Linked DNA regions of Xenopus tropicalis. The protein of the gene in region 4 binds, or shares a complex with, the protein of the main gene of each other region. Links are inferred from orthologs where the notes say so. Each region holds a gene or a part of one and is shown on either strand. Other genes may lie near its edges.

Region 1 (4,245 bases), on a different chromosome or scaffold from region 4:
AAGCCAAGTTTTGACCACTCCCCTTTTTTAAACTGAACCCACTTCAAACCACACCCATGTTATCACAAGAGCTTTTAAGACCATGCCCACATTAATGGTGGTAGCACAGCAAAAACCCAAATGGTTGGTGTAGGTATATCACACTTCATTCATATGTGAAAGAATTATATTATATCAAGACATACCCTTAAATCTATATGGCTTCTACTCCCCTGTAGATAGCACAGCAAACCCCAGCACATAATTACACACCTTAGGGACCATATAATGACTATTTCCAACTGCTAACAAACTCCCAGAACAAGCCCCTGCCAGGTTCACCTCCCATATGGCAGGCAGAGTATGGCACACACAGGCAGAGTATGGCACACCCAGACACATACAGTGACACAATGCTCATACTGAGGTGTGAACAGGTGAACAATGTGTGCATTTACAGTTTGAGTGTGAACAATGCAGGGGTAAACAATGCAAACCCTAAAAGGGGTAAACAGTATAGGGGACTAAATGTTTAAACAATACAGGGGGATTACAGCCTGAACATGAGGTGTGAATGATGCAGTGAGCCAGTTAATCTCAGTACTGATAACATTCTTACAAAGGGAGGGGGGGCACTGGCTGCCAGTTAGACAGCCCTGTTCTACAGAAAGAAAAGTGTAAAAAATAACTGGTGGGGACTGGAAGGAAGTGCATTTAAGGGAAATTACTGTGGGGATCTGCTGGAGATTACCATTAAAGTCCAAGGGGTGTGTGTGCTAAAAGAGTGAACAGCGATTTCCCAGACACAGACTGCAATCCAGCCCATCGAAGACACTAGTTTAATAATGAGAATTTGGAAGTGAGATCTGCATTTAAAGCTATAAAACATAGCTTAGACATCCTGGAAGTTAAGGGCCCCAACATTGCTGGCTTTTAGGACTAAAGGGGAGCTCCCAAACACCCATACATCACATATTAGGTGTCTATTTACCTTGTAAAATTTAAATTCCTGTGTGAATTTAAACGATTTATATTGCATTTCACTACATTTTGTTATTGCCTTCTGTTTCTATTTTCTGCATTAACTACCAATTTATTTCCGCCCCGTCTTGTATAATAAATACAGGTTTACTTTTTACTTGTGTTGGTATACAGTGGGAAATCTTTGGGGTATCAACATAGTCGTATTGCTAGTATCCAAGCCACACCTAGGGGTGGGCTACATTTATATATACCCGGTCCTCCTCAAAAGTGGGCAAAAAAAAAAAAAAAAAGGATTGAAAAAAAAAAATATATAAAAAGGATACTCTACAAAACAGAATCCACAGGCTGTTTTCTTAATCTTATCGAGCCCCATAACAATTTTTTTAACATCGCCGCTCTTGCTGAACAGTTCATGGATTTGTTCCTCTGTTGTATAAAATGACAGGTTTCCTACATACAAGGTGCAACTGTGCTTTAGCAGACACTCCTGATCAGACCGGTTTCCCTGTAATATAAACAAATCAACATAATTAGTGATTATTTGGAAGACAAACTGCATCCTTATTTTCTTATTAAAAAAAAATAAACTTTCACAGTCTTTAGAGGCAGCCCTGCCACAATCATTAAAATCATCTAGTTCTCATACAATTAATTATTCAATGCATTTATCAACACAGATTGTTTTGTAATAATTGCCTGCTTAACCTGGGTTAACTTCTATAATGCAATAATGTCAGTTTAAGCCTGACTGCCACATCAAGTCACTCCATGCTGGCAGGTCATTCAAGCCAATGCTATTGCAGATACCTCAAAGCAGGTAAGTACATTAATACGTTCAGACAAACTACCTTCTGGTTCCTCTGGAAGTGTGTGACACATACCCAATTAGATGACAGAAACTAAAAGGTGCCCATACACTATAAGATCCGCTCGCTTGGCGATGTCGCCAAGCGAGCGGATCTTCACCCGATATCCCCACCTACAGGTGGGCGATATCGGGTAGCAAGTAGCTTTAAAAAAAAATAATCCGATTGTTTTGCCCTGGGGCCAAACGATCGGATTACAGTTGCGGCCATGGGGCAGTCGGTTCGGGGGCCACATCAACGAGCCGATGCGGCCCCCAATCCGACTGGATTTTCTAACCTGGCCGATCGATATCTGGTCAATTTCAGGCCAGATATCGGTCGGCCAGGCCCCTCGTTTCTGCCCCTACACGGGCAGATAAGCTGCCAAGTCGGTCCAAGGGACCAATATCGGCAGCTTCTATCGGCCCGTGTATGGGGACCTTAAGAGAGAAGCACACACCAGCATGGGAAAGCAGGAGCTCATAGGGTATATGAGAGATGCCCATAATGAGTTATTATGAACAGGCCGGACTGGCAATCTGTGGGTTCTGGCAAATACCAGAGGGGCTGGTGAGGGCTGTTTGGGTCTCTTTGAACTTAAAATGCCAGGGCCTATTTTGAATCCCAGTCCAGAACTGAGTGTGAGCCCCCAGTGTTACATGATACAGGATTAGAAACCGGCAATAGAGTTCTCAAGTAGGGATTATTGCAGTAGGGGAGAATGAAGCAACAGAACAACACACAGATCCCGCTGGTACTGTAGCTCGTATCCCGGCCAGTGAGACAAAGGAGGCTGGTTCTGAGCAGAATGCGTGCCCCCACTGCCTACAGCACTACTAACAGGCACAGCCCGCCCAACCCAAACAGGTAGGTGCCGCCGGCAGCTCACCCGGAAGTGCTGGTCCCGATACTGACTCAGCTCCACGTACGAGTCGCTCTTTAGGGCACCCAGAGCCATGTCGGTTCTTCCTTACAGAAGCTACAGTCTCCTCACTAATCTTCTCCAAGTGGCGCCCATTAAGCCGCACAAGGACCAATCACAGAGCAGCAGTGTAATATTGTATCCGGGTGAACCGGAAACTATAGTGAGGTCAGGCAGGTGACCGTGAGAATTGGGATTGGCGGAGAGCGGCGCACAAGTGCAGTCTATCGAGCAGTGAGTGAGTATGGAGCGAGTGTAGCCGATAGCCGGGACTGCTTTTTATACATGGTGGGGCGCAGCGATATAATTCATTTGCACCTCTGCCCAGTTTAGCATTTGTACGTTTTGCCGTAGGTGGCGGATCTTACAGAGCGGCAGTATGGCTCAATAGTGAATTAAGCGACATTGGTGTTTGTGAGAGCGAAACTGAATTAGCACAATGGTTCTGAGGAGACTGCTCTTTACTCTGCTCAATAACCCCCAACTGATAGAGAAACTCTCCGAGTCCCGGCCCATACGGAGAGCAGCGCAAATCACTGCCTTCGCTGTCACCAAGGCTCAGCTGAGCGGCAAGGACGCGGCCCAGAGAATCCTGCGCTCCGACACTGTGCGACAGATCCGACAGGAGACGAGCAGGGCTGGGCCCCCCCGGGACATGTGGGAGATGGGCCGCAAGGCGGAGCGCATTAAGGACACTTTCCTCAGGGAGTTCCGGACTGGGCTGCAGGATGCCAAGAAACAGATCAAAAGGGGAGAAGGGAAATAATGATAAACTGTAGCCGCACACACTGCCCACTTACACACGGAGGCAGCTGGTTACCTTGCCCTGGCACTACAGCAATATCCAGGGCCTCCCACATCAGTTCCATCACTGGGCGTAGTTACCCATAGCAACCAGTCAGTGGGTAACTGTTAGCTGCAAACTGAAGTTTGAAAACAAACATTTGATTGGATTTCATAACTACTACTGCCCTGTGTGGGTAAATGAGCTAGAATTTGTCAGCTTGTGACAAGGTGCCTTTTAGAGAAGATTTCAAAATAAATGTATACATTTGTGTTTAAAAGCATTGATTTTGCTCTTTTTTTTATTTTACCCTGAGAAAGTAGATGGTTCATAATTTGTACTTTGCTTGTAAATGGGGAAAGCCCTGGGGTCCCGCTGGATGTAGAATGCCCAATAACACGCATGTCAGTTATCTGTTTTTCCAGGAGTAGCTTCATTATTAACAACCTGGTTAATCTGGTTGTCATTATTGGGTTCCACAATATAATGAACCTTACCCCTAGACACTTGGGAATATCCTGAATTTTCAATTCTTTATACCAGCTGAGTAAAGCACTGGAGGAAACAATAGTTGTGTATGTAGGCAACAGGATTTCTTTTGGTAGGAATAATAAGTCTAATACTGTAAGCACAATGCTTGGGGAGTTAACAGAGCTTAGTATATTTGGTAGAGCAACAGTGTATGTAAGCAGGGTTATTCTGAAGTCAGAATAGGGAGACGGGCATACATT
Region 2 (4,273 bases), on a different chromosome or scaffold from region 4:
GGTGGGTTGACTATTGGTCAACCAAAACCTGCCAATTCCCCCCCCCGCAAGCTTTACGTCTATTTATAGACCCCAACCTGCCCCACCTATGACACCACTGAGGGGGCAGGCACGTGCCTATGAATAGACCCAGAAGTGGGTTGCAGGCGAGAGGCAGAACTGAAGGGTCCCAGGCTGACCCCCGCACATCACTACTAAGGATACCGTGCTGCCCAGGGCAACTGGCCTAGAACTAAGAATGAATGAAAGTATAACTGTTGGCAATGCACAATGGGAGCCAGAGGACCCCACTCCTCCTCCTATAGTAAATCCTTATAGTAAAATCAGGTTCCTCCTTCATTGCTACTAGGGATGCACTGACGAACCCCTGAACCGAATCCAAATAACTAGGACCGGGAAGGGTTAAAAATTACTGTGCACCCCCCCTACCATTTAACCCGAGCGCATCGGGCAGGTTCTTACACAGCAGCCGCGACCCAGAAATAATCTCAGACCCGAGCTAAAAAGCTGCTCACAGCAGTGAGTTCATCTGTTTATTAAACAAAAAGACCAACGTTACCAAGTTCAGCCGCAGCTGAGAGGTCCTGTAACCGGCTACAAAATAAACCTTGGGAGGGGCGTAGGGACTGGCATGGCGCGGGCACGGTCGGCAGTGGGAAAGTGCAACAAAGGGAGGCGGCTAAAATAGAAGGCGGGGCATTTAAAAGAACTCCACATCATCGGGGGCATCCAGATCTCGGTATTCAATGATGGCACGTGGGTCCCCCCTGATCATCCTGCGGGGAGGAGAGGAAGAGTGTGAAGGCACAGACAGACACGTAGGCAGAATGGAGGAAGGCAGAGACAACGCTAACCTGTTACGTGGTTTTCCAGGGTACATCCCTTGGCCCCTAAAAGCGTCGTAATTTCCACGTCCAGCCCCGTAGGGAGTAGGAGGGAACTGAGGCGCGCCTATAGGGAGAAGCACAGTTAGACCCAAAGGCAGGATTGGTGCCCGACCCAGCCCAGTAGGCTGCCGAGTTGGCATCTCAGAGGCTGCAGGTCAGGCCAAGCTCTAGTAGAACTATGTATAACTATGAGCTGGGCGCCACCTACAGGCAATAAGCAGAACTGGCTGATCAGCTGCTTAGTTGGACATTCAGTTAAATTAAGTTTTAGTATGTCATAGAACGCCCAATTATAAGCAACTTTTCAATTGGTCTTCATTATTTATTTGTTATATTTATTTATTTTTTCGCCTTCCAACTCTTTGCAGTTTTTAAATGGGGGTCACTGACCCCAGCAGCCAAAAACCTACTGCTCTGTGAGGCTCCAGTTTTATTGTAATTGTTACTTTTTGTAACTTCTTCTATTCACCCCCTCTCTTATTCATATACCAGTCTCTCTTCCAAACCACTCCCTGGTTGCTAAGGTAATTTGGATCTTAGCAACCAGATAGCTGCTGAAACGCCAAACTGCAGAGCTGCTGAACAAAAAGTTAACTAAAAAAAAACTACAAATAAAAAATGAAGACCAACTGCAAATTGTCTTTGAATATCACTCACTACATCATACTAGCATTTGCCTATCATTCCTACCAGTACGGCAGACTATGGCTGCTAGGGCTACTCACCTGCATATCCCAGCACAGGGGGCCGCGGCTGGGCGTAAGGTAGGAGGGCTTGGGGTCCCTGGTGGGGGTACAGCAGCCCAGCGGCCAATGCTGAAGGAGAGAGACAAAGAGCACAGTGAGGGGGTGAGACAGAGGGAAGCTACGGATACAGTGGTTTCACCTGCCTGCACTTACCTTGCCCGGCTGTACCAACTGGCGGCTGCAAGGGTTTGACCTCGGGGAGGGCGGGGCGCTTGCTGTCGATCAGGTAGTTGTTGAAGAACGCCACCTCCTTCTTCACCTCCTCAATCTTCTCGCCATGTTTGTTGAAGATATGCTTGCGCACAAACTCCGGTCCCTAGGGGCAAAGGGGCAATTAGTTCCAGTGGGTTTCCCCCTAAATGCCCCACGATCCATTGCCCCGGACCCATAACAGGAGCCCCCGGCCCAGTCGTCCTATCACTGAAATAATCTACGCACCTTGAATTTCTTGCCGCTGAGGGGGCACAGCCACTTCTCCTTGCCCAGCTCCTGGGTGTTGGCCGTCACAAACTTCTCCACTTCCTGTTCTGGGTCCTTCTTCCCCATCTTCACTGCCTCCTCCTCAGACAGGGTCTCCCGAACCGCAAACAGGGGCGACAACTTCTCCTCAAAGGTCTTCTGCCACTCGGCCACTGCCAGGGGGAGGCCCACAAGTGAGAAAAGTCATCTCCCCTCTCTGTATAACAGTACTGAGTATCTCCCCTCTCCTCTCTGTATAATGCTACTGAGTATCCCTCCCCTCTCTGTATAACGGTACTGAGTATCTCCCCTCTCCTCTCTGTATAATGCTACTGAGTATCCCTCCCCTCTCTGTATAACGCTACTGAGTATCTCTCCCCTCTCTGTATAACGGTACTGAATATCACTCCCCTCTCTGTATAATGGTACCGAGTATTTCTCCCCTCTCTGTATAACGGTACCGAGTATCTCTCCACCGATACCCACCTTCCCTCTCCGAATACCTCCCCCCTGTGCAATACAGGTAAGTACTAAGACTACAAGACAAGAAGCACTGAGCAGAGTCTATATCTGGGGTCTGTACCTTCACCATGTGACACGCGGTTGGGGGGCAGGGGGCCGCGCACGTGCATCATTCCACACCGCGTTGGCATCTCATCCTCATTGGGGTACTCGCATGTGTTATAATAATCAACAGAATGGACAATACGAAGGTAAAATAGGAGTTTATCCAGCACCTAAGTAGGGGGAAATTTTTTTTTATAAATTTAGTAAGCTTAAATCATTGGACATCTATATTATGGAAAGATCTCTTATCAGGAAAGCCCCAGGTGCCGAGCATTCTGGATAACAGGTCCCGTGCCTGCACTGTACATGACACATCTATACACACCGTGGAGGCAGTACCAGCCCAATACACACAGCTACACGGCGCTGGGACAAATGGCAGTACCTTGATAAGCTTTTCGTCCCGCTCCACGCTGATCTCTGTGGGGTTCCCTTCCTTGGGGGTCTCTGTTTCAGGGGTCCTTCCCGCACTAAATAAGAGCTCTTCTTCCTCTGCGTTCACTTCATCAATAAGGTAGTCTGTGATGTTCTTCAGAATGGGATTCTGGGCTGAAACCATCTGAATATGATGGAGCAAAGCAAGAGGCACAGAGGTTAGAACAGAGCACCCCAAAGCCCTCAGTCCCCGTCCAACCGAGCACCCCAAAGCCCTCAGTTCCAGTCCAACCGAGCACCCCAAAGCCCTCAGTTCCAGTCCAACCGAGCACCCCAAAGCCCTAAGTCCCCTGTCCAACCGAGCACCCCAAAGCCCTAAAAGAATAGGACTATATAGGTATGTGTAGATTTGTCTATACAGTTCTCTCTCTATATCTATCTATATCCTTATGTGCATGGAGTGGGGGTCTAATGTAGGGGTTAAACCTGTGACTTCTCAAACCCAATGAAACTCGAATGTGTGTCTCACCTGGTCCCCCTGCTCCCCCTCCCACAGCAGAGCTCTCTCATCCAGAGCGTGGATCAGCCTTGCTGCCAGCTTGATATCATTGCGCACAATGGGGCGGTGCATGGTTATGCCGTTTATATTCCGCACTCGATAGGTCAGGTCTCTGTTCACCCCGGGACTCAGTTCACACTCACGGAGCTGGGGAGAGAAATAAGGCAATGGGATAAGAGGGGGAGGACCGTACGGCCAATGGCAGGCAGCCCGCGGGGCAAGGTACATACCCGGATATTCTGCACGCTCCAGCAGATCTCCTTGATGTTGACGCTGCGATCGAACGTCACGTATGCTTTCCGAAGAAACCTGCCGTAAGGGAAGAGACTCACATTTAATCCGTGTGCAGCAATGATGGGAATTCCTGCATTTATTATTAAGTATGTTATAGACTTGCCTTTTCTAAGCAACTTATCAATTGGTCTTCATTATTTTTTATAATTCTTAATCTATTTGCCGTTTACTTCTAACTTTTTTTAGCTTTCAAATGGGGGTCACTGACCCCGGCAGCCAATAAACTACTGCTCTGTGAGGCTACAGTTTTATCGTTACTATATATAACTTGTTTTTCTATTCAGGCCTTCTCCTATTCCTTTGCAATCCTTTCATTCAAACTGCTATCTGGTCGCTAAGGTAATTTGGACCCTAGCAACCAGATACCTGCTAAAACGCCAAACTGT
Region 3 (4,272 bases), about 61 Mb from region 4:
GTATGGCAAATAATGCAGTATTAGGAGTCTGCAGTGATACAGTTCAGAAGGAAGGCCCATTAAGGGAGCATAGTGTTTATAGGCTTTTATTCTCCTTTAACAACTATTTACATTCTATGGTCTTGCCTGACAACACCTAGTCACAATATGTATTCTGTAAAGATTGTTTCAGAATACTAAGCATGTCATTCTTAAAGAACAAGGAAAGCCATTACACAAAGTCTGTAGTATGTGGTAGCAACCCCCCTCTTGTACCTGATCATCAGATTATTTTATCAGAATTCCCAGCAGTGCTCCTCCTTTGCCCTCTGATATGTCTGATACTACCCCTTAGTAATGGGCAGTGGTGTAACTGGAACTTTATAGTTCCCATGATAACATTTTTTTAGACTCCCTCATTCTTTAGACCTCAGTTATTCTTTACATGCTTATGCTGAAAGGCTTTGATGAAGTTCCCAGTCTTCCTGGGCCCCTATGACCTCCAATACAAACAAGAGCATAAACAAGCTAGCCAAAGCGATACCTGTGAATTTCTGGAACTCTCTTCATAAAGTAGTTGTACTGGCAGATACATTAGATAGTTTCAAGAAAATAATGGATACCTTTTGCTAGAAAATACAAGGTTACTCAAATTACCTCTTAGTACAACCTTAACCCAGGTGCTGGACCAATAGCCTAATGGAGAAATTCAGATAAAACTTCACATGTTATATTTGCCTTCCTCTGGATCAACAAGAAATTACAAAATTTGATCCTGATGGATATATATCTTTTTAAACCGCATTTTTTTTGTCTAGTTACATAGGGAAAACTTGGGTTTATTTACTTGGCCAAAACACAAACCGCAACAAGAAGGTTGCTTGACTGCACTAACATTAGAAGAACTTTTAACTTTATTTTGGCAGACTTTACTTTAACTGTCTAATAATCTGTGGCTGCCTTCCACAGGGACTCAGCTTGCAGACAGTTATAGTACCCTGTGAGATGAATGCTAAATCAGCTGTATCCTAGCACTTACTGCATTTATTACCCCAAGAGGCACATTTACTAATCCACGAACGTCCGAAAAGCGCCCAAATGCGTTTTTTCGTAATGATCGGTATTTTGCGACTTTTTCGCGAACTTTTCGTAATGGCTATGAAAAAGTTGCGACAATTCACGAAAGTCGTAATGGCTATGAAAAAGTCGCAAAAAATACGAAAATACGCAAAATGTTAGTTTCCAATCCAATTTTTTCCCATTCGGGATTCAGATTCGTGGATTAGTAAATCAGCCCCTAAGTCTCATTATTTTGTGATCCAACATCCCTGTACTAAAGTATTTAGAATATTTTTCTTTGACAGTGGTAATGCAAGAGCCACCATTACAAGCATAATACTACAATGCTAAGGCAGATAACAGCTCTGCAATCTTACCTATGGGCAATTTCATCAGAGACTTTATCTTCTGAGTCAGCCTCAGTTATTTCATATCTGCCCTTGTAATCCATTTCTAACCTCTCTCCCAGTCTTTCTTTAATAGGTCGTTTCCTCTTGAGGTGCCCATTTTCCTCTTTTGGTGCAGACTCTTTATCTTCTTGCATGTACTCATCTAGTTCTTTGTCCAGCTTCAGTTCTTCCTCCTTTTCTGTTTTTTCCATCAGTTTCCTGGCAAGAATATAATTATATGTCTCCGATTGCCTACTCATATCCAGTTGGCCTTCCATATCCATAATACCTAGTTCAGTTGCCACTGCCTCTTGGGTCTGCTCCTGAAGGACAGCTCCCCATACATTATTACGCTTTGTACCCCCCGTGCCAATAGGCCTTTGTTGGCCCTGCAGTACAGGAAGAGGTCTGGCCATTTTAGGGGCTGGGTGGGTACACTTCTGCCGTTTACGTTTCCATGAAGAACCATCTTCATCATCAGAATCAGATGCACTATCTTCACTCGAGTCCAGACCTTTAGTCGTTCGGTAGGGGACATTATTTGAAAGGGTACTATTACTCCGGTAACTGAGTGAAGTGGTGATTAAATCTGTTTTCTGAAAATATAAAAAATCAGTTCAATGGAAGATGCCTTTCAAAAAGTATAACTAATCAATATTATGTGTTAGCAGAAACAGAAATATCAGAGATTTCAAGACTAAAGGGTTAAACTAATCATCATTAATATGGACGATAGAAAATTGCAGGGAAACAAAACACTGCACCATGCTTCAATAGTAAGTACAGCAAAGGTTACATTTCGCAATGCCAAGAAACAACTAAAGAAACTAAAACTTCCATTATATCAGCAAATGCTATTATGTGCCACAACTCTATGGAATTTCTGACATCAAAGTGAGAAAATAAAATGACAGCAATGGATATATAAAAGCATGGGGAGGTATATCGCCCAACAGGGCCTTATATGGCTACTGCTCCGGCAAGGTATGGCTACCACAGACTGCAGGGTAGAGGCATGATAGCAGATGGAACATCACGTCTAACACATTGGCTTTACTTATTGCCACAGGGAGCCCTCAACTATCCCACAGGCCGGCATTCCCTCTACCTGCTGCCCTTTGTTCCCCACTCCCGACGTTCTCATGTCTGTGTCAGAGCCGCTTAGCTCCCCGTCTTCCAAGCCCTCATCCTCCATCATTTCCCGGGCTGCATCTAGCGCCATGATACCCAGCCGGATACGGAAATACGTTGAGAAAGTGAAAACTCAGGGGCCGAATGAGAGTGCGAGACCTAGCCGAGAGCCCATTGTAAGCGATCTGCCATGATTGGAATGGGCAATCCTACCGTCCCGCCTCGGAAGTGAACTGCTTGTTCGCTCATTGCTTGTTGGAAATTGTACTTATTAATGGCCGTGGGGTTTTTAGCGAGGTTACTAACTATACGTCACTTTAAGGTTTAATAGGCGGGCCCCCATTGGCCGGAAATTTGTGTCAGAATAAAACTCAAGCATGTCAACTTCAATATAAGGCAGGCAGGGAAGAAAATGGTCTGTACTTACTACATTACATTACATTTACATTAACATTTATTTACTAAACTAGACACGCTAACCAAGTGGGACATACTGGACCAATAGCCCCGGGAGCAGATACGTTACAAAAAGGTGATGCTACAAGAATAAAGGCAAATAATTTAAAATAACTATTATGTAAAGTTCTTCCTGTTGATTACAATGAGGGGTCTGCCATCTCTGCAGGATGTTTCTGCCCAAAGTTATCCCAGATAAAAAGGAGTTCTTATGGGCCCCCTATCCTGGTGTATCCTGCTGTGTGCAGACATCTCACAGGCAGGCTTGCTGGGAGTAAGGGTGATGGGTGTTGCCAGGGTCAGCGCCCCCCCGCCCGACCGGTTTTCCCTTGACGCGTTAAACTTACACACGCTCAGGGGAGGACATCAGGTGTGGGGAACCTGTGGGGGACCCCGGCAGGGGGGGGGGTAGGGGACGCGGCTGGCAGGGGCCCTGCACCCCCCAGTCTGACCCTGGGTGTTGCCATTAGCCAGCATCCATAATATTAGGCTGATGCCACACGAGGCGTAGGGCTGATATTTTCGGCAAGCAGAAAAACGCTTGGCGAAAATCCAGCCCTACGCCTGCTACTTGTGCCTGCACCCGAATGAATGGGATACGCTCGGGTGCAGGCACATGTAGCCGATATATAGCCGATACAGCGTATTCCATTCATTCGGGTGCAGGCACAAGTAGCAGGCGTAGGGCTGAATTTTCGCCAAGCGTTTTTCCGCTTGCCGAAAATATCAGCCCTACGCCTCGTGTGGCATCAGCCTTAAGTGCTAATTTGTGTGCTTGCCCACCTGTCAGACTGTGAAATTGTTTAAAAATATTTATTTCTTAGGTCCTGAAGGTCAAGCAATTTTACATTCTGGGTTCATTTGCAACTAGGCTTGCCATGTTTTCTGGAAAAAAAATTCTGGCCCTCCTATAGTTTTTATCTTCTCGATTAATATCATTGGCACCAAGCATTATTTTTACCGGCCAGGCCAGGAAAATACCAGCCAGGTAGCAACCTTATTAGCAACCCCTGTACTACAGCAAGTCTATGGGGAAAATGTATTATAGTATTTAAGCCAACATTACTGGCGATGTTGCCCATAGCAACCAATCAGATCTTTTTGTTTTTATTTTCTAACTTCTAGGTGACCGTTCAACTGTAATTTCTGATTGGTTGCTATGAGCAATATCACCAGTGATGTTGGCTTATGCACTATAATAAATATGCCCCTATGTATTATCTGGCCACCTGGACTGCTAACCTCTGTTATCACAACT
Region 4 (3,500 bases):
GTGACTACAGTTTTTAGTAGAATTAAGTCTAAAACTAAACTTTGAGTGGTGAAACGGTTTCAAGAAAACTCAGAGTGCCTTCTTCAGTTGTGACTGACTGTATACTGCATCCAAAAACAACTGCAATCAAATCAATTAATGGGCTGAATTATTTCACATTCTCGACTGCAAAAGATTTTTCAGTTTGTCAAAATGCTACCTGGAAGCATAGATTCCACTAGCATGCAAGATTTTTTTTCAAAGGCCTAATGTATACCTCCATATTGTGTGATGGCAGTCAGATCCATCGGGCTGAATTAGTAGCTTGATTAATCTGATATTTGCATACAATACAGCATTAGAAAGTGAAAATTGTGGATCAGATTTGCAGTATTCTGCAACTTTTTCTCAAAAGTAATTATAGGTAGAAAAGTCTTTCTACTTGGATATTTATCTGTAAAGATATTTGAAAAAGCCTAGGTGCCTTCATAAGTGCCCCTCCCAACTGCATCAACCGAACTCCTGAATAGGACCCCCATTCCTGTGCGCCCAAAGCAGATTATGAATCTGGGTTGGTGGCCATCATGTTTGTGCAGGTCACATCCTGTCTGAGGCTCTACAGGGGCAGCTGCCAAGGAAAAATTGAACCACAGAAGACTGACCTATGTCCATCTGCTAGCAAGCATGCTCCTGGTCAGGGACAGTACCAAGGTTATGGGGGCCCCTTTTGGGAGTCTAGTTAAGTGATTGGTGTAACCTATGAGGGGCTTTAAAATAATTTTAGTTCTCCTTTAAGTGACACACAAAAAAAGGAGTGTTTAAGAAGGTACCGTTTGTATGCACCATAACTAATATGGAAATAAAAGTGGCTTTGTGTAAGAGTCACAACCCAATTAAATATTTTCAGAATAATAAAGCAGTTATGCCAAATGCAATGCTATTTCTCGGTGTATAGAAAAACCATTTAAGCCAAATGAACCAAATGAGTCTTGAAGAGAATGTGGCATCCCCATGGATATACAGGCATTATTTATCAACGTTCAAATTGTAATTTTTTTTCAAACTTTGAATAACCTCGACATGTAAAAAAAAAAATGCTAAAAGTGCTGTTACCCAATTCAATACCTTGAATTTTTAATGGGTCGACAATTTTTTTTTTTTTGCTTAATTATTGAAAACTTGTGTTTTTTTAATCCATTATTCAAAATCATGGCTTTTAGTCCAAAAAACTTAAATCTTAAAAAAAAAAAAAACCACTGATTAATAACCCCCATAGTGTTTGAATCTATGCATCAGGAGAGTGCAAAAGAACTGCCAAAACAAACTAGACACAGATTTAAGAGTAAATGGACACTTACTAAATATACAGCTTCATTGTAAGCATTCAGTTTAATTGTCTCCTTGAGATGACGTATCATAGCCTCCACAAATTCACCACCAAAATTGTAGTTTCTGGCATTAAGTAACCCAACTAATGTAGTGTACACAGTCATTTTTTCAGGCAGCGTTCGGGCACTACATAAAAAAAAGCAGTGGTATAAGTACAGCAGTTTTGCAAATCTGAGGTCTATGACAACTGTGTTGATCATATTAAAGAGATACTGACAGCATATATTAAACCCCTTTTTACATCTATCATAACATTGTCTTTGCGTGGTATTTATAATGTTACCTTAAAAGTATTTGCTCAGTGCTTTTACATTACCTATCTGATACCCATGTTCCTCTATGAGGAGGGTTCCAAATTTGTGCAGCAGTAGTCTGTTAACATTACAAACTCTATCAACATGACCTATAGGCAACTTTTAATGTACAGTAATATTTTGTTTTATTTAGTGTTCAGTATCCCTTTAAGAACACAATGCACATCCATTCTCCTCCATTCCACTGCTGCCTATGGGAAAATGGCCAGAAATGGTTCGTTTTTGCTTGTGCATTTTTAGGTTAAAACTGTAGAAAATAATCTTTGACATAAAAAAAAAAAAAATAACCTTAAGTCATTCCCCACAGTCTGTGACTCCAGTAATAACCACCTACATCAGTGGTTCTCAACCTGTGGGTCGGGACGCCTTTGGGAGTTGCCTAAGACCATCGGAACCATTTCCAATGGTCTTAGGTAACCGAAACACCGCTCCTCTATGGTTGTGGGTCACCACAACATGAGGAACTGTATTAATGGGTCACGGCATTAGGAAGGTTGAGAACCCCTGACCTACATGATTTCAGCAGACAACAATGTAAGAAGCAAATTGTAGCATGTTATGCTATTACATTGCCAGGAAAACTAGTGGATATAAAGGCACTCCTCTTGCTACAACCTGGTCTTAAAAAGGTTATAGCAATAAAACTTTTACTAGTTTTAAAGTTTCTTGTAAATATAATTGCTACTGAAAGCACCATTTGTCTACATCTTGCTATTCATTGCCTTGCTGGTTCTGACTGTAATAAGTGTCTAAGAAAAGCCAGGTGATTAAAGTGGTAGTTTGCCTTGAAATTAAATTAGTATTATGTAAACCTTGATATCCTAAGGGCGAAGACACACAGAGCTACTAGTAGCAGTTACTTGTCATGGATACAAAAATAGACAATGCTGGTCATTTACTGACAACTGTCTGATTTTTAACAGAGCCATTTCACAGTATTTTCTGGCTTTAGTAGCCATGAAAAAGTAGCTGCAACTAGTAGCTCCGTGTGTCTTTACCCTAAGACAAATTGCAAATGGTCTTCATTTTTTAAATATGTGGTTTCTCTGTTATTTTAGTGTATCAACAATAAAATTTCAGCTTTTTAAAAACATGTTTCTTGGCTGCCAGGGTCAGTGACCCTGATTTAAAAGTTGGCAGAAGAGAAAAGCAAATAACTCAAAAACTGTAAAAAATGAAGACCAATTGCAAAAGTTGCAATACCTGTAAATTGGATTGCACTTTCAGAATATTGGTCTTTGGCTGGATGAGATCTGGAATCTACTACTCTGTTTCAAAACTCAGAACAACATGTGAAAAGGACAGACAAATACAGCTTTCAATTAAAAATAAATTTTAAATGCCAATTTCTTTCATTAGGCAGCATTTATAATTTTGAGTTTACATCCCCCTTAAATCTTCATAAATTATATTTTATCCTTCACACACCACTCTAGTAGCCAAAGCTACACACGGCAATATCTAAAGATGTGTCATACTTACACTGAACAAAGAATTCTTAAGATCTTGCTTTTATAGTTAGGCAGATCAGCTTCCAAGACACCAGCCAAACCTTCTAGGTTGCTTTCCAGTGAGGATGTACTCTGAAAAAGACGATATAATTGATTTTAAATAACTAAAACCCATCAGTATCAATAACAATGAAGAACTCATATTTAATATTTGTACTGTAAGTTAACTGCTTTAAAGTATGCATTACAAATGAAGAATTATGCGGTTGAAATAGAGCATCTTGTAGGTTGCCACTTCACATGGAGGCTACCAAATTGTGAATTAGCAGAAAAGTAGATGGAAGAGGGCTACTGGAAGCAACTTCAG
Region 5 (3,500 bases), on a different chromosome or scaffold from region 4:
AATGATAGAACATTGCATGGCCATGTATGTGAATTGTTCATTTAGTGCCCTGCCACTCAAGAAAGAGGACAAGTAACCCCCCTGGTGTCTGTCCTCCTAAGAAAGAGGAGAAATACCCAGAGAGTCCATTAAAAGGTACAAATTAGAAAATGGACATTTTAAAGGCATTTTAAAAGGACATGTAAACCCCACACACAAAAATGTAAATCAGTGAAAATGTAATCAGCCTCTTGGAAATCTTTCAATACCTGCTACTCTGGTTGTCCAGAGGTTAATAGTAAGGCTGCAGCATCCCCTTAAAGGAACTGTAACACAATTTTTTTACATTCAAAATATCCCTTCTATATACTTTCATTATCAAATATATCATACAAAAATTTCAACAGCAGTAGTAGTTTTTCTTAGAAATCTTACTTTAGCACTGATTTATAGAGAGCAGGCAGCAGTTCTCGCACCACGCTTCCGTTCCGCTCCCCCCTCCACCCCCCCCCTCCCTCTTCATGCAGGCACACACAGCGCTACTTCAAACAGCGATGCAGACTTATCTGTAAAGAAGAAACGGTATGTCTCTAATCCCCTCTCCTCGCCCCAACTGCTAATAGCCCATAAATCACACAAAACGGATTAAACCGGAAGTCGCCGTATCGCCTTTTCAAGCTCTGCACAGTAAGGCATTGGTAATGTAATTTATTTTGAAACCATGTAGAATATTGAATTTTTTTAAATGCTACATATCTTAATAAAGTATTTAGAAGGGATATGTCAAAAGTTATTTTTTTGTGTTACTGTTCCTTTAATCACTTAGATTTGCTTCTTCTCCTGTAAACCCCGCCCCCCCCCGCCTCGGGAATTTGCTTTGATTTCTGGCTTGCCAGACATGCTCAATGATATGCCAAGGTCAGCCCAAACTCATTAGGGGCAGGCTTAGCTGTGTAAGAGGAAAACACTGATTGTTTTCATGTTCAGAACTAAATCAGTAAAATAAGAAGTGAAACTTTGCATTCAGAAACAAAAATAAATTGCCTGTGGTTGCTTAGGACAATAATGCCTTACCTTTAGTGGCAAATCTCATGTACAGACTATTTCCTTTCACTGGTTTACTAGAAGGCCGGAGCTCATTTTTCAATAAAGATGCCTGCTCAGCTTCGGAAAGGGTATCTGGCTGTTGGAATATAGCAACACATGGTCAAGTAAATAAAAAATGTATAACAAAATGCAGCAAAACAATAAACTCATTTTTACATTTATTTATATATTAATTGCTTGTCCCCCATGTGTACATGTGCATACACATCTATAGAACCCTATGATATATAAAAAATAACTGGTCTAACATTAAAAAATATAGGCTCTTTTATTATTGTGGTCACCCAAAAATTAAAAAAAAAAAGCATTTCGGTTGACAAGAGATGTTCTCATTATTACGCAAAGCAGAAGGAATTTTGGGATAAAAGTTCAAGATTCCTCCTTAAATTGTCATTTACATGGAAAACCCTTGATAATAAGCCTTAAGGTGGCCATACGGGTGGGCGATATCGGGGAGCATTTAGGTAAAAAAAAAAAATAATCCGATCGTTTGGCCCTGGGGCCAATCGATCGGATTATGTGGGTGGCAATGGGGCAGTCAGATCGGGGACCGCATCAACGAGCCGATGCGGTCCCCGATCCGACTGGATTTTCTAACCTGGCCGATCGAGATCTGGCCGCTCTGCTCTCCCCATACACGGGCCGATTAGCTGCCGAATCGGTCCAAGGGACCGATATCGGCAGCTATAGTCGGCCCGTGTATGGGGACCTTTACTCACTGGGTTTTAAAGCACACGCTGGTCAGTATGCGGATTGGATTACCAAACTGGCATTAATTACCAATCAGCATTAATAGAGCCAGGGAAGTGGTTTAGCTAAAAAAGCATTATGGTTGATGAGAGATGTCCTTACTGGTATGCAAGTAGAAGGAATTCTGGAAAAAAAGCCCAGGATTGCTCCTAAAATCTCCACTGACCTGGAATATAATTAAGACTGAGCTTTGGAGTTCCATGACCTGTATAAAAGCACTCGGCCTTTGGCCTCGTGACTTATAATATTGCATTTTACAATAGGGGGTACTTTATGCATTATATAACCACTATGGCTTCTGTATAAATCCTATGTTTCTCTGCACTGTTATAATATACAGGTATGGGACCTGGTAGCCAGAATGCTTGGGATCTGGGGTTTTCCAGATAAGGGGTCTTTCAGTAATTAGATCACCATACCTTAAGGGCTGTGACACACAGGGAGATTAGTCGCCGCGCAACATCTCCCTTGTCGCGGGCGACTAATCTCCCCGAAATGCCATCCCACCAGCTAGAATGTAAATCGCTGGTGGGAAGGCATATGCGGCACCGCAATTTGCCTTGACAAGGGAGATTTGTTGCGTGGTGACTAATCTCCCTGTGTGTCATAGCCCTAAGGGCTCTGGCACATGGGGAGATTAGTTGCCCGAGACAAATCTCCCTGTTCGCTGGCGACTAATCTCCCCGAGTTGCCATCCCACCGGCGACAATGTAAGTCGCCGGTGGGATGGCACACGCGGCGGCGCGATTTCGGCAAATTGCCGGAAATGCCTCGCAAGGCAACTTCGGCGATTTGCCGAAATCGTCTGCACAGCGTGTGCCATCCCACCGGCGACTTACATTGTCGCCGGTGGGATGGCAATTCGGGGAGATTAGTCGTCCGCAATCAGGGAGATTTGTCGCGAGCGACTAATCTCCCCGTGTGCCAGAGCCCTAACACTGTGTATTTGCATCAGGAACACTACTATAGGTTTATAAAAATAAGCTGATCTGTAGCCATGGAGCAGCCAATTAAGCTGTAAAAAAAAGGAGATAAGGCACAGGTTACATACCAGATAAGACTACACCGGCAATTTAGGGCTCTGGCACACGAGGAGATTTGTCACCGGCGATTTTTAAAAGAGTGATTTGGCGACAAGACGCCAATGCTAAATCAATGGAAATCGCCAGCGTCAAAACATACGAGGCTACTTCAAATCGCCTGCTGTTTCAAATCGCACACAGACCCTTTTCTGAACGACTTGAGTAAACATGAGGGAGGGGTAACTGTTGAGTGGTACCATGGGTAGCAGATCGCCTGGAGTTCAACTCGCATGAAATCTCTTTGTGGGTATCGTCTTGGCGACTTGTCGCCAAAGCGCCAGGGGGAAAAAACGCAGGCGACAAATCTCCTCGTGTGCCAGAGCCCTTACATTCAAGCCGGTGGGATGGCATTTCAGGGAGATTAGTCACCCGTAACAAGGGAGATTTGTTGCGGGCGACAAATCTCCCCGTCTACCACGGCCCAAACCTGTGCCTTTTCTATTTTTGAATGGCTGCCCCCATGGCTACATGCCAGGGTTTTTATATAAACTCTAGTAGTGTTTCTGAATCAAACACACAACTTTTACCAGTACAGGGCAATAGTATATTATAGTTTTAGTTTTTGGTATTACTGTTACTACT
Region 6 (3,500 bases), on a different chromosome or scaffold from region 4:
TTCTAAGTCATGCTGCAGTGCTGCTGAGACAGCAGAAGAGCTCATACTTATATGTTCTTAAGTGATAAACCACATCTGAAAAATATAGTTGAGTGTGTGAGTTTTTCTAGCAAGTCTCCAGTTTGAAATGGAAAGTGTTATATTAAGGTTGTCTATAATTTAGGCTGTTACATGTGACAAAACATATACCATTACTGTGATACTCAAGAAATAACTTGGGTCCCAATACCTCCTGTTGTACCTTATACAAGTAATTTTATTTACCTTCCTTGTGTCTATTGGCATACTCTATGCATGCTGAGATGGTAAATGTGCCCAAAACAACTGAGATAAAGCCAATTAGTAGAAAGTAGTCACTAAATCATTATTACAGGAATGTAGAGTACATATTTAAAGGGACAATGCAAACAGTAACCTACATATCCACAAATAACTGAAAAGCCATTTTAAATTATAGTTAAAAAAAAAAAATCTTGGGCATAGCATATAAGCACAGTCTTGTTTCTTTAAATAGTCAACGGTCACTTTATTTACCATCCTCAACCATGTGTACCATGTACACATAGAGATCTTGGGCCCTAATATTCTCTTTCTCCTCGCTTCTCTTTATCCTGGCTTTTTATCAGCATCAGTTTGACCATCGCTAAATAAATCTTCAGAGTAATTGACCTGAGACCTCTTATCTCTGTGTGAACCTTTAACACTGTTCTGTACAGCTGTGAAGGAAAAGAAAAACAGAAGATAAATCTGTGACATTTTACTATATAATGTTAAGTACCAATCCAGGGCAGAAGGGGACAGTTTTCTTATTGGTTAAGTCTTCTTTGTTTTGCCTGTGCTGTCAGAGCACCCATGTGGTTGCACTATTAACTTCTGAATTGCCCTTTAGTGTAAATAGGCAGTCCACATTCCACCTCCACCGGGTGCTACAGGTTTGCAGAGATTCTTGCCTTCTACAGCTTGCCTTGTAAAAGCAATATCATGCTGGTACTGTCCCTTTCACCAGCAGTCCATAATGTAGCTCTGCAGCCTTATGACTATATTTGTAGAGAAATTGCAAGAGAAACATTTACATATAAAGTTACAACTTACCCAATGAACCCCAAACTGATTTTCCTGTGGCTGCCTCCAACATAGGCTGTTTGCGAGCTATGCTAACCTTCACTGGTATGTCTTCTATCACCTTGTTATTAAGCTGAATTAGAAGAAGAAGAATTCAGTTCAGACGTGAGAACAAATTTTACAGAGGTTCAAGGAATTTGACCCAATAGGGGCATGAGGTTAAACTTCTCAAAGTATAGCTGTTTGATATACTTTTAAAAGAAAAGTAACACCAAAAAATGAAAGTGTATCAAAATAATTATTATATTATGTACTATTTCCCTGCACTGGTAAAAGTAGTGTGTTTGTTTCAGAAAAACTACTATAGTTTATATAAATAAGCTGCTGTGTAGCCATGGGAGCAGCCATTCAAAAGGAGAAAGGGCACAGGTTACATAGCAGATAACAGATAAACTCAGTAGAATACAATGGTGTCTTATCTGTTATAAAAACTGTGCCTTTTCTCCTTTTTTCCAGCTTGAATGGCTGCCCCTGTAGCTACACAGCAGGGTATTTATATAAAATATAATAGTGTTGCTAAAGCAAACACACCAGTTTAGGTAACAGTAAATTATATTTTAATTACTTTAAGACATTTAAATTTTTTGGTGTTACTGTTCCTTTAAGGCCTCCAACACTTATCATAGCAAACAATCAAGCAGATAATTATAGCAAACATTTAGTGAAGCATACAACACTGCATAGCACAGTTTTAGAAGCCTTGCTGTTTAAATAAAGAGCCCAATCTTTATTTTCTAAAAATCTGAGAAAACAAAAACGGCTTAAAAAAAAACAACAAAATCCCATTTTTTCAGTTCTATGTGTTTAATACTCCAAAGTGACAATGACAAAGAATAGCAGTATCAAATGGAATAAAGGAGGCAGTAAAAGGAAACCATGCAGCAAAACTCACCTCTGAAATAGCCTGGTCAGCTGACTCCATCTTCTCATATGTAACAAAAGCACAGCTGGGAATAAAAGGCCCCCAAAATTAAAAGGTTGCCAGCCTAAAAGCACACTAGTAAGGTCCATACAGTGCCTACTTACTTCCTTGGAGCATCCACAGAAAGATCAATAATGTTCCCAAAGCTGGAAAAAGCCTCACGAAGCATTGTCTGGTTCATGCCCACACCATGAACATAAACAGTATTACCTTTCCTTGGAGCCCGACGTTCAGGGAATGAATCTGATCCTACAGGATGCATGACAAAGGCACTGGTTAAATCATTAGTAAATGAAGACCTGGTAAGGAAGTTAGGCAAAGGGAAGCTAAGATGAATAGCAGAGCTATAATTCCAGCCCTCTGCTTCAGTAAAAATCAAAAAAGTGGCAAATTACTGCGGTAAAAGCCATCTCTGTCCCTTTCACGATCTCTTTCGCGGTCTCTCTCACTTCGGTCTCTATCTCGTTCTCTGTCCCGGTCACGATCTCGCTCTCTTCCACGATCTCTATCATAAGGTTCTCTCTCTAAAAGTTCCCTCTCTCCTCGACGAGTATCCCTCTCACTCTCTCGTTCCTCGCTTTCTCTCTCAGGATCTCTCATTCGCTCACTCGGGCTGACAAAACTAGAATGAGGGGGGAAAAAAATTAGGAAGGAAAAGGTACAAAAGAAGTACATAAGAAAATAAATCTGGATTAAAAGATTTACTCATTCTAATGAGCCAAATTTCTAAATAGTTATACACAGTTCAACACACTAGAGAAAATTATTGTGCTATCTCTACTAATTAGTGTAGAATAACACAGAAGTAGTTTATAAAAATATATACATCTTTACTCTGTACTTTGTTCTCTTTTTCTAATACTGAAGTTTAAACTTTCCTGTCTCTCTCTCTCTCTCTCTGGTGTTTAAAGGACACCTACCCCCCTTAAATTGTTACCCCACCAAAGGTGTAGGCTAATAGAGCCTGCACTCTGATTAAGAGAAACAATAGCTGCTGGCAGCCATGTTGTGGCATTCGCACGTGCATAATGAGTGGATGCCAAAACTCGCAACTCATGTGTGACGTAGGAGGGTGAATCACATCCACCAATCCTACATCAGGCAAAAGCGCATAATGAGTGAGTGGGGAGACATACTCATTATGTGCATGCGCAGCAGACGATGCGGCCACCCACTCTGGAAGCTCCCTCTCAGTGTGGGCAGCCTAGCAATGGCGGGGGCTGTATTTTAAAAAAAAAAAAAAAAAAAAAAAGGAAAACATTGGTTTCCCCAACCAAAATGCTGGGCCTATTAGCCTGCACCTCTGATGGGGGAACCAATTACAGGGTGATAGGTTAAGTCTAGAAGCTCAGTAATCCAGGTGCATACTTTGAACTGTTAGCAATTGCTATGTTAGTAACTAATTACTATATTAGTTCATACATCAGCATCTGTAGAATATTAGCAACTATTGTAT
Region 7 (3,500 bases), on a different chromosome or scaffold from region 4:
GTTTTATTTTATTTTCCCCCCTTACACTGGGGACTGGAGTTCCAGAGATTAACCTATTATCCACTGTCTCTTCAGGGGAGAGAAATACGGCTTCATAACCTATCGGCATTCGGAGCATGCAGCCTTGGCTCTACAAAAAGGAGCCTCCCTGAGAAAACGGAGTGAGCCCCCTTTACACTTGAGCTATGGGGGGCTCAGGCATTTCTTTTGGACCAAATACAATGATCTAGGTAAAAATATTGACCTGTTGACCATATTAGCATTAGTGCAATAGGCCCTTATATTTTAAGTACACAAAGGCCCAAACCACCCCCACCAGCCCACTAAATAGTGACTGTCTATGGCATCATACAGCAGCCCCTCTGTAGCCTTATTCTACACTACTGTTATATCTGAACACCAAGTAATTAGCACCACTATGGCATACATAGGTCATTTTTACCTAACTTTAACCAGGTCTATGTCCTGCTGCCATGGCTCATTTTCTTATAGAATGTGCAAGTGACGTTCTTCTACAATAATCTCATTCGAAGGCTTTCCCTGAATACGTTGCCTGGCTTCATGCACCTTCTACAGTGAGATGCAAAAATCAGCCTGCAGACTTAGGCATGCTGGGAATTACAGTCCTCAGCAACTGGAGTTCTAAAGGCTTCCCAAACTTATATGAAAAGAATGTTATTACAAAAGTAACCAGACCAAGTGATTATGACATACTGAACTCTCTGAGACATTAGGATGGCTTACGCTAGATTAATATTTCTCTTTTCTCTGTTTTAGAGTTGTAGACAGAGTCTTGCCATAGTTAACCCCTTGTTGTCCCAATCTTATACAGATTCAAATGCAGTGGAGCCTTCATCAACAGTAAAAAAGAGTAAATACGAGTCAATGGATTTTGATAGCTTGTTGAAAGAGGCACAAAGAAGCTTGCATCGATGACAGCCTTAACCCCATTAGGAGGAGCACCTCAATACCTCAAGTCAAGGCACTTCCCCCTATGTTTACGTTTTAAAGAAAAAAAAACAAACAAAAATGGAATACAGAAACAAAAAGACTTTATCCTTTAAATTGATGTTTACATTGAACAAAGCTGCTTCTGTATGTGATTTTTCTCCATGGTGTCGCTGTCTCACTGCCACAGTTTAGTATACTTGCTTCCCGGGTGTGTCTGTCGTCGTCCCGTCTCGGCCTCTTCTCTTTCCTGTTGTAATTGCAGCTGCGTTCTCCATAATATTTTGTCTGTAGTGCGTGTAAAAGAAAAGAAAAAAAGTCAAAACCATACAAAAATGCAATGTCATTTGTGACTAGAGTCTAAATTACAAACTAATTTTAATAGGAGAAAGATGTATATTCTTAAATGAAATGATGTATTTATGGTTCACATGTACTGTATTTCAGATTGATGTATGCTTCATTTTGAACTATGCACTGTAGTGGGGTGTTTGCAAAAGATCAAAAATGTAATCCTCATACACTAATAGCCATGAACCATTACTGGGCATTACTCTAAAGCTGAGAGACCGCAGGGCTTTCATAGAGTTACTACGGTGGGGAAGAATCACGAATATCTATTGGTAGCAAAACAGAGTCTTCAGAGTCTTTCGCAACTGAGGTCACGGAATCTTCAGGACTGAAAACTGCATTTTAACTTCTTTATAACTTTTACGTTTTTAAAAATATATATATCTCACACATTTTTCTTTAACAGTCTTTATCCCAAAAAGTATTTTTAAAACTGAAATAGCAAGATGCAAAGAACATATATTGCAATGTCACTAACTGGTAGCCAGCCCCATGTATTGTGGTTGTTATTGAGTGGCTTCTCTTACCCGTTTGTGTCTGTGTCATCCTTGGGAAATCATAAAGTACAAAGAAATACATAAATATAGTTGCAATCATAATATATAGCATTTGCTGTGCCTGTTTTAAAGGGATGATTAACCTTCAGGTTAACACTTAGTTATAAAACTATTTGCTTTTCTTTTCTGAACTTTCCAGTTTTCGAAGGGAAGGGGGGGGGGGGGGTCACTGACTCCAGCAGCCAATAAACTATTGCTCTATGAAGCTACAGTTTTATTGTTGCTGTTACTTTGTATTACTTATCTTTCTGTTTAGACCCTCCTTTATTCATGTTTCTGTCTCTCTTTCTAACCACTACGTGTTTTGCTAGGTCAAACTGGACCATAGCAACCAGATAGCTGCTGCAATTTGAACTGGAGAGTTGCTGAGCAAATAGTTAAATTCAAAAACTGCAAATAATACAAAATGAAGACCAACTGCAAATTGTCTCAGAATAGCACTCTCTGCATTATACTAAAAGTTAATTTGAGGGTAAGCCACCCCTTTAAGACCATAAATTGTCTCCACATGGCACAGAATGGACTGATGCAGCCTAAACCTAATGGGTGCCAAAAGCATGAGAGCTACAGACAGGTGACAAAACACTGAACATTCTTGTTAAAACCTTTGAATAACTAGTGCATTCCCATGCCGCTGTCACTTTAAAGCAATCGGTTTTATTGTCTTCTAACTGACAGTGAGGTTATATATCAGTTTTGTAAAATATATAGTTTTTATTCTGTGTAAGCACTTTCAGAGACACCTTATGATTTAACCTAATTGCTCAGTTTAAGCAGTACAATGTACTACACATTTCCCAAAATGCATACAGCCATAAATATCCTCCTATACAAGTGCTGAAGAGAGTGGCCACATTGTCTACGCATGGTTATGTGGGGCTGTATAGCCTAATAGCCTGTCCATTGCTGATTTTCAGCCAAATTCATGGCTCATGGAGTTGGATATTTGTTTTAAACTCTCATTAAATGCATTACATTTAAAAAAAAAAAAAACAAGTCCTGAACATAAACAAGACGAGAGTTACTTTTCTGTAACCAAGGGACGGTATGGTTTATTATGGTATTTGAACTGTTCAGTCTGTCATGCACAGTATGATATTTGCTCCAAAGACAACCATGACATAGTGGACGCCATGTTATCCTCTTGCTAGCAGGGAATGCATGGGGCCGCTGCTTAAATAACACGTGGAGGTCAAATATGCGGCCTTCAACGCCCATTGTATCCTAAAAGCTGCAGGTTTCATGTCCCTGTTGTAGCACACAGCAATACTCATTTGAATGCTGAACAAATAACACAGAGTTGGGGACTTTCAGTCTCCCACCTTACAGTTTCAGCTTGTCACAAAAAGCCATTGTTTCCTCTGACACAGATGTGTTAGGGACTAACCATTAATGTCTGAGAATTGGGGCTACTAGCTCCAGTTAGGATTTCTTGAATATTTAGCAGGGTAGCATAGAATGTAGGATTAAGCCATTATGCGTAGTTAGCCTTACTTCTAGAAATAGTCATAGCTGGGATATTTTCCGGTTTCATATTCTGCCAAAGTTTCCAGCAGCACCCATAATCCCTTGCAAGGATTATAACTTACTCTTTGGCAAACACCTTATCATAGCTCTGCCTTTTTCTATCATTGTATTCCCACA

What was found.
Region 1: the proteins of ncbp1 (region 4) and ncbp2 are in contact, whole or in part, in a crystal structure (PDB 5OOB), measured with the Homo sapiens proteins. The link is inferred for Xenopus tropicalis from reciprocal best matches to the Homo sapiens genes NCBP1 and NCBP2. Residues at the interface, in NP_002477.1 of Homo sapiens: Glu32, Cys36, Leu71, Thr74, Val75, Arg77, Leu78, Leu79, Ser324, His325, Trp326, Lys327, Glu328, Arg329, Lys330, Ile368, Val370, Met371, Thr374, Glu378, Asn415, His419, Ser422, Asn423, Gln425, Lys455, Arg458, Leu459, Ser460, Tyr461; in NP_031388.2 of Homo sapiens: Gly4, Leu5, Leu6, Lys7, Leu9, Arg10, Ser11, Asp12, Ser13, Tyr14, Glu53, Glu54, Gln55, Tyr57, Glu58, Leu59, Lys62, Ser63, Asp65, Lys67, Ile69, Tyr89, Asn96, Arg99, Tyr100, Asn102, Gly103, Thr104, Arg105, Leu106.
Region 2: the proteins of ncbp1 (region 4) and srrt are in contact, whole or in part, in a cryo-EM structure (PDB 8PMP), measured with the Homo sapiens proteins. The link is inferred for Xenopus tropicalis from reciprocal best matches to the Homo sapiens genes NCBP1 and SRRT. Residues at the interface, in NP_002477.1 of Homo sapiens: Tyr461, Gln463, Lys511, Lys557, Ser558, Ser560, His561, Ser564, Ala567, Lys568, His570, Lys607, Ile609, Arg610, Thr611, Gln612, Met648, His651, Glu705; in NP_056992.4 of Homo sapiens: Asp857, Pro858, Arg859, Val862, Glu863, Tyr864, Arg865, Asp866, Leu867, Asp868, Ala869, Asp872, Asp874, Phe875, Phe876.
Region 3: the proteins of ncbp1 (region 4) and phax are in contact, whole or in part, in a cryo-EM structure (PDB 8PNT), measured with the Homo sapiens proteins. The link is inferred for Xenopus tropicalis from reciprocal best matches to the Homo sapiens genes NCBP1 and PHAX. Residues at the interface, in NP_002477.1 of Homo sapiens: Cys380, Lys381, Pro384, Pro388, Gln389, Leu391, Ala392, Thr395, Phe417, His420, Leu421, Asn423, Phe424, Gln425, Arg427, Trp428, Ser429, Asp432; in NP_115553.2 of Homo sapiens: Ile114, Asn115, Asn116, Ile117, Trp118, Gly119, Val121, Leu122, Glu124, Gln125.
Region 5: the proteins of ncbp1 (region 4) and ncbp3 are in contact, whole or in part, in a cryo-EM structure (PDB 8BY6), measured with the Homo sapiens proteins. The link is inferred for Xenopus tropicalis from reciprocal best matches to the Homo sapiens genes NCBP1 and NCBP3. Residues at the interface, in NP_002477.1 of Homo sapiens: Lys330, Ile377, Glu378, Cys380, Lys381, Pro384, Pro388, Gln389, Ala392, His420, Asn423, Phe424, Gln425, Arg427, Trp428, Ser429, Glu431, Asp432; in NP_001107590.1 of Homo sapiens: Glu572, Asp574, Glu576, Leu577, Gln578, Ala580, Trp581, Gly582, Leu584, Ile585, Lys588, Glu589, Arg592.
Region 6: the proteins of ncbp1 (region 4) and nelfe are in contact, whole or in part, in a crystal structure (PDB 5OOB), measured with the Homo sapiens proteins. The link is inferred for Xenopus tropicalis from reciprocal best matches to the Homo sapiens genes NCBP1 and NELFE. Residues at the interface, in NP_002477.1 of Homo sapiens: Tyr461, Lys511, Lys557, Ser558, Ser560, His561, Ser564, Lys568, Ile609, Arg610, Gln612, Cys616, Lys647, Met648, His651, Glu705; in NP_002895.3 of Homo sapiens: Arg362, Ile365, Val366, Tyr367, Ser368, Asp370, Val371, Tyr372, Gly379, Phe380.
Region 7: the proteins of ncbp1 (region 4) and ppargc1b are in contact, whole or in part, in a crystal structure (PDB 6D0Y), measured with the Homo sapiens proteins. The link is inferred for Xenopus tropicalis from reciprocal best matches to the Homo sapiens genes NCBP1 and PPARGC1B. Residues at the interface, in NP_002477.1 of Homo sapiens: Glu26, Asp29, His30, Ser33, Leu34, Lys37, Val38, Lys41, Ser42, Ala43, Cys44, Asn49, Gly52, Leu53, Val56; in NP_573570.3 of Homo sapiens: Tyr1006, Glu1007, Ala1008, Met1009, Asp1010, Phe1011, Asp1012, Leu1014, Leu1015, Lys1016, Glu1017, Ala1018, Gln1019.

What each region holds. Positions count from the first base shown.
Region 1 is NC_030681.2:106,058,488-106,062,732, forward strand, and holds the start of ncbp2 (nuclear cap-binding protein subunit 2), read right to left. Parts: upstream 2,801-4,245; 5' UTR 2,767-2,800; coding exon 2,698-2,766; intron 1,469-2,697; coding exon 1,287-1,468; intron 1-1,286. Other genes in the region: protein NCBP2AS2, read left to right, coding at 3,170-3,496. UniProt on the Homo sapiens protein: Component of the cap-binding complex (CBC), which binds co-transcriptionally to the 5' cap of pre-mRNAs and is involved in various processes such as pre-mRNA splicing, translation regulation, nonsense-mediated mRNA decay, RNA-mediated gene silencing (RNAi) by microRNAs (miRNAs) and mRNA export.
Region 2 is NC_030679.2:151,511,792-151,516,064, reverse strand, and holds the end of srrt (serrate RNA effector molecule homolog), read right to left. Parts: intron 3,903-4,273; coding exon 3,824-3,902; intron 3,741-3,823; coding exon 3,564-3,740; intron 3,219-3,563; coding exon 3,045-3,218; intron 2,830-3,044; coding exon 2,676-2,829; intron 2,266-2,675; coding exon 2,072-2,265; intron 1,950-2,071; coding exon 1,787-1,949; intron 1,703-1,786; coding exon 1,613-1,702; intron 952-1,612; coding exon 701-951; 3' UTR 501-700; downstream 1-500. UniProt on the Homo sapiens protein: Acts as a mediator between the cap-binding complex (CBC) and the primary microRNAs (miRNAs) processing machinery during cell proliferation.
Region 3 is NC_030677.2:168,322,561-168,326,832, forward strand, and holds the start of phax (phosphorylated adapter RNA export protein), read right to left. Parts: upstream 2,801-4,272; 5' UTR 2,650-2,800; coding exon 2,536-2,649; intron 2,024-2,535; coding exon 1,416-2,023; intron 1-1,415. UniProt on the Homo sapiens protein: A phosphoprotein adapter involved in the XPO1-mediated U snRNA export from the nucleus.
Region 4 is NC_030677.2:107,416,976-107,420,475, reverse strand, and holds part of ncbp1 (nuclear cap-binding protein subunit 1), read right to left. Parts: intron 3,266-3,500; coding exon 3,165-3,265; intron 1,495-3,164; coding exon 1,338-1,494; intron 1-1,337. UniProt on the Homo sapiens protein: Component of the cap-binding complex (CBC), which binds cotranscriptionally to the 5'-cap of pre-mRNAs and is involved in various processes such as pre-mRNA splicing, translation regulation, nonsense-mediated mRNA decay, RNA-mediated gene silencing (RNAi) by microRNAs (miRNAs) and mRNA export.
Region 5 is NC_030678.2:48,502,625-48,506,124, reverse strand, and holds part of ncbp3 (nuclear cap-binding protein subunit 3), read right to left. Parts: intron 1,163-3,500; coding exon 1,054-1,162; intron 1-1,053. UniProt on the Homo sapiens protein: Associates with NCBP1/CBP80 to form an alternative cap-binding complex (CBC) which plays a key role in mRNA export. NCBP3 serves as adapter protein linking the capped RNAs (m7GpppG-capped RNA) to NCBP1/CBP80.
Region 6 is NC_030684.2:74,052,615-74,056,114, forward strand, and holds the end of nelfe (negative elongation factor E), read right to left. Parts: intron 2,667-3,500; coding exon 2,420-2,666; 3' UTR 2,294-2,419; coding exon of another isoform or gene 2,149-2,293; 3' UTR 2,070-2,148; coding exon of another isoform or gene 2,015-2,069; 3' UTR 1,196-2,014; coding exon of another isoform or gene 1,093-1,195; 3' UTR 717-1,092; coding exon of another isoform or gene 607-716; 3' UTR 234-606; downstream 1-233. UniProt on the Homo sapiens protein: Essential component of the NELF complex, a complex that negatively regulates the elongation of transcription by RNA polymerase II.
Region 7 is NC_030679.2:44,011,391-44,014,890, forward strand, and holds part of ppargc1b (peroxisome proliferator-activated receptor gamma coactivator 1-beta), read left to right. Parts: intron 1-75; coding exon 76-230; intron 231-832; coding exon 833-936; 3' UTR 937-3,500. UniProt on the Homo sapiens protein: Plays a role of stimulator of transcription factors and nuclear receptors activities. Activates transcriptional activity of estrogen receptor alpha, nuclear respiratory factor 1 (NRF1) and glucocorticoid receptor in the presence of glucocorticoids.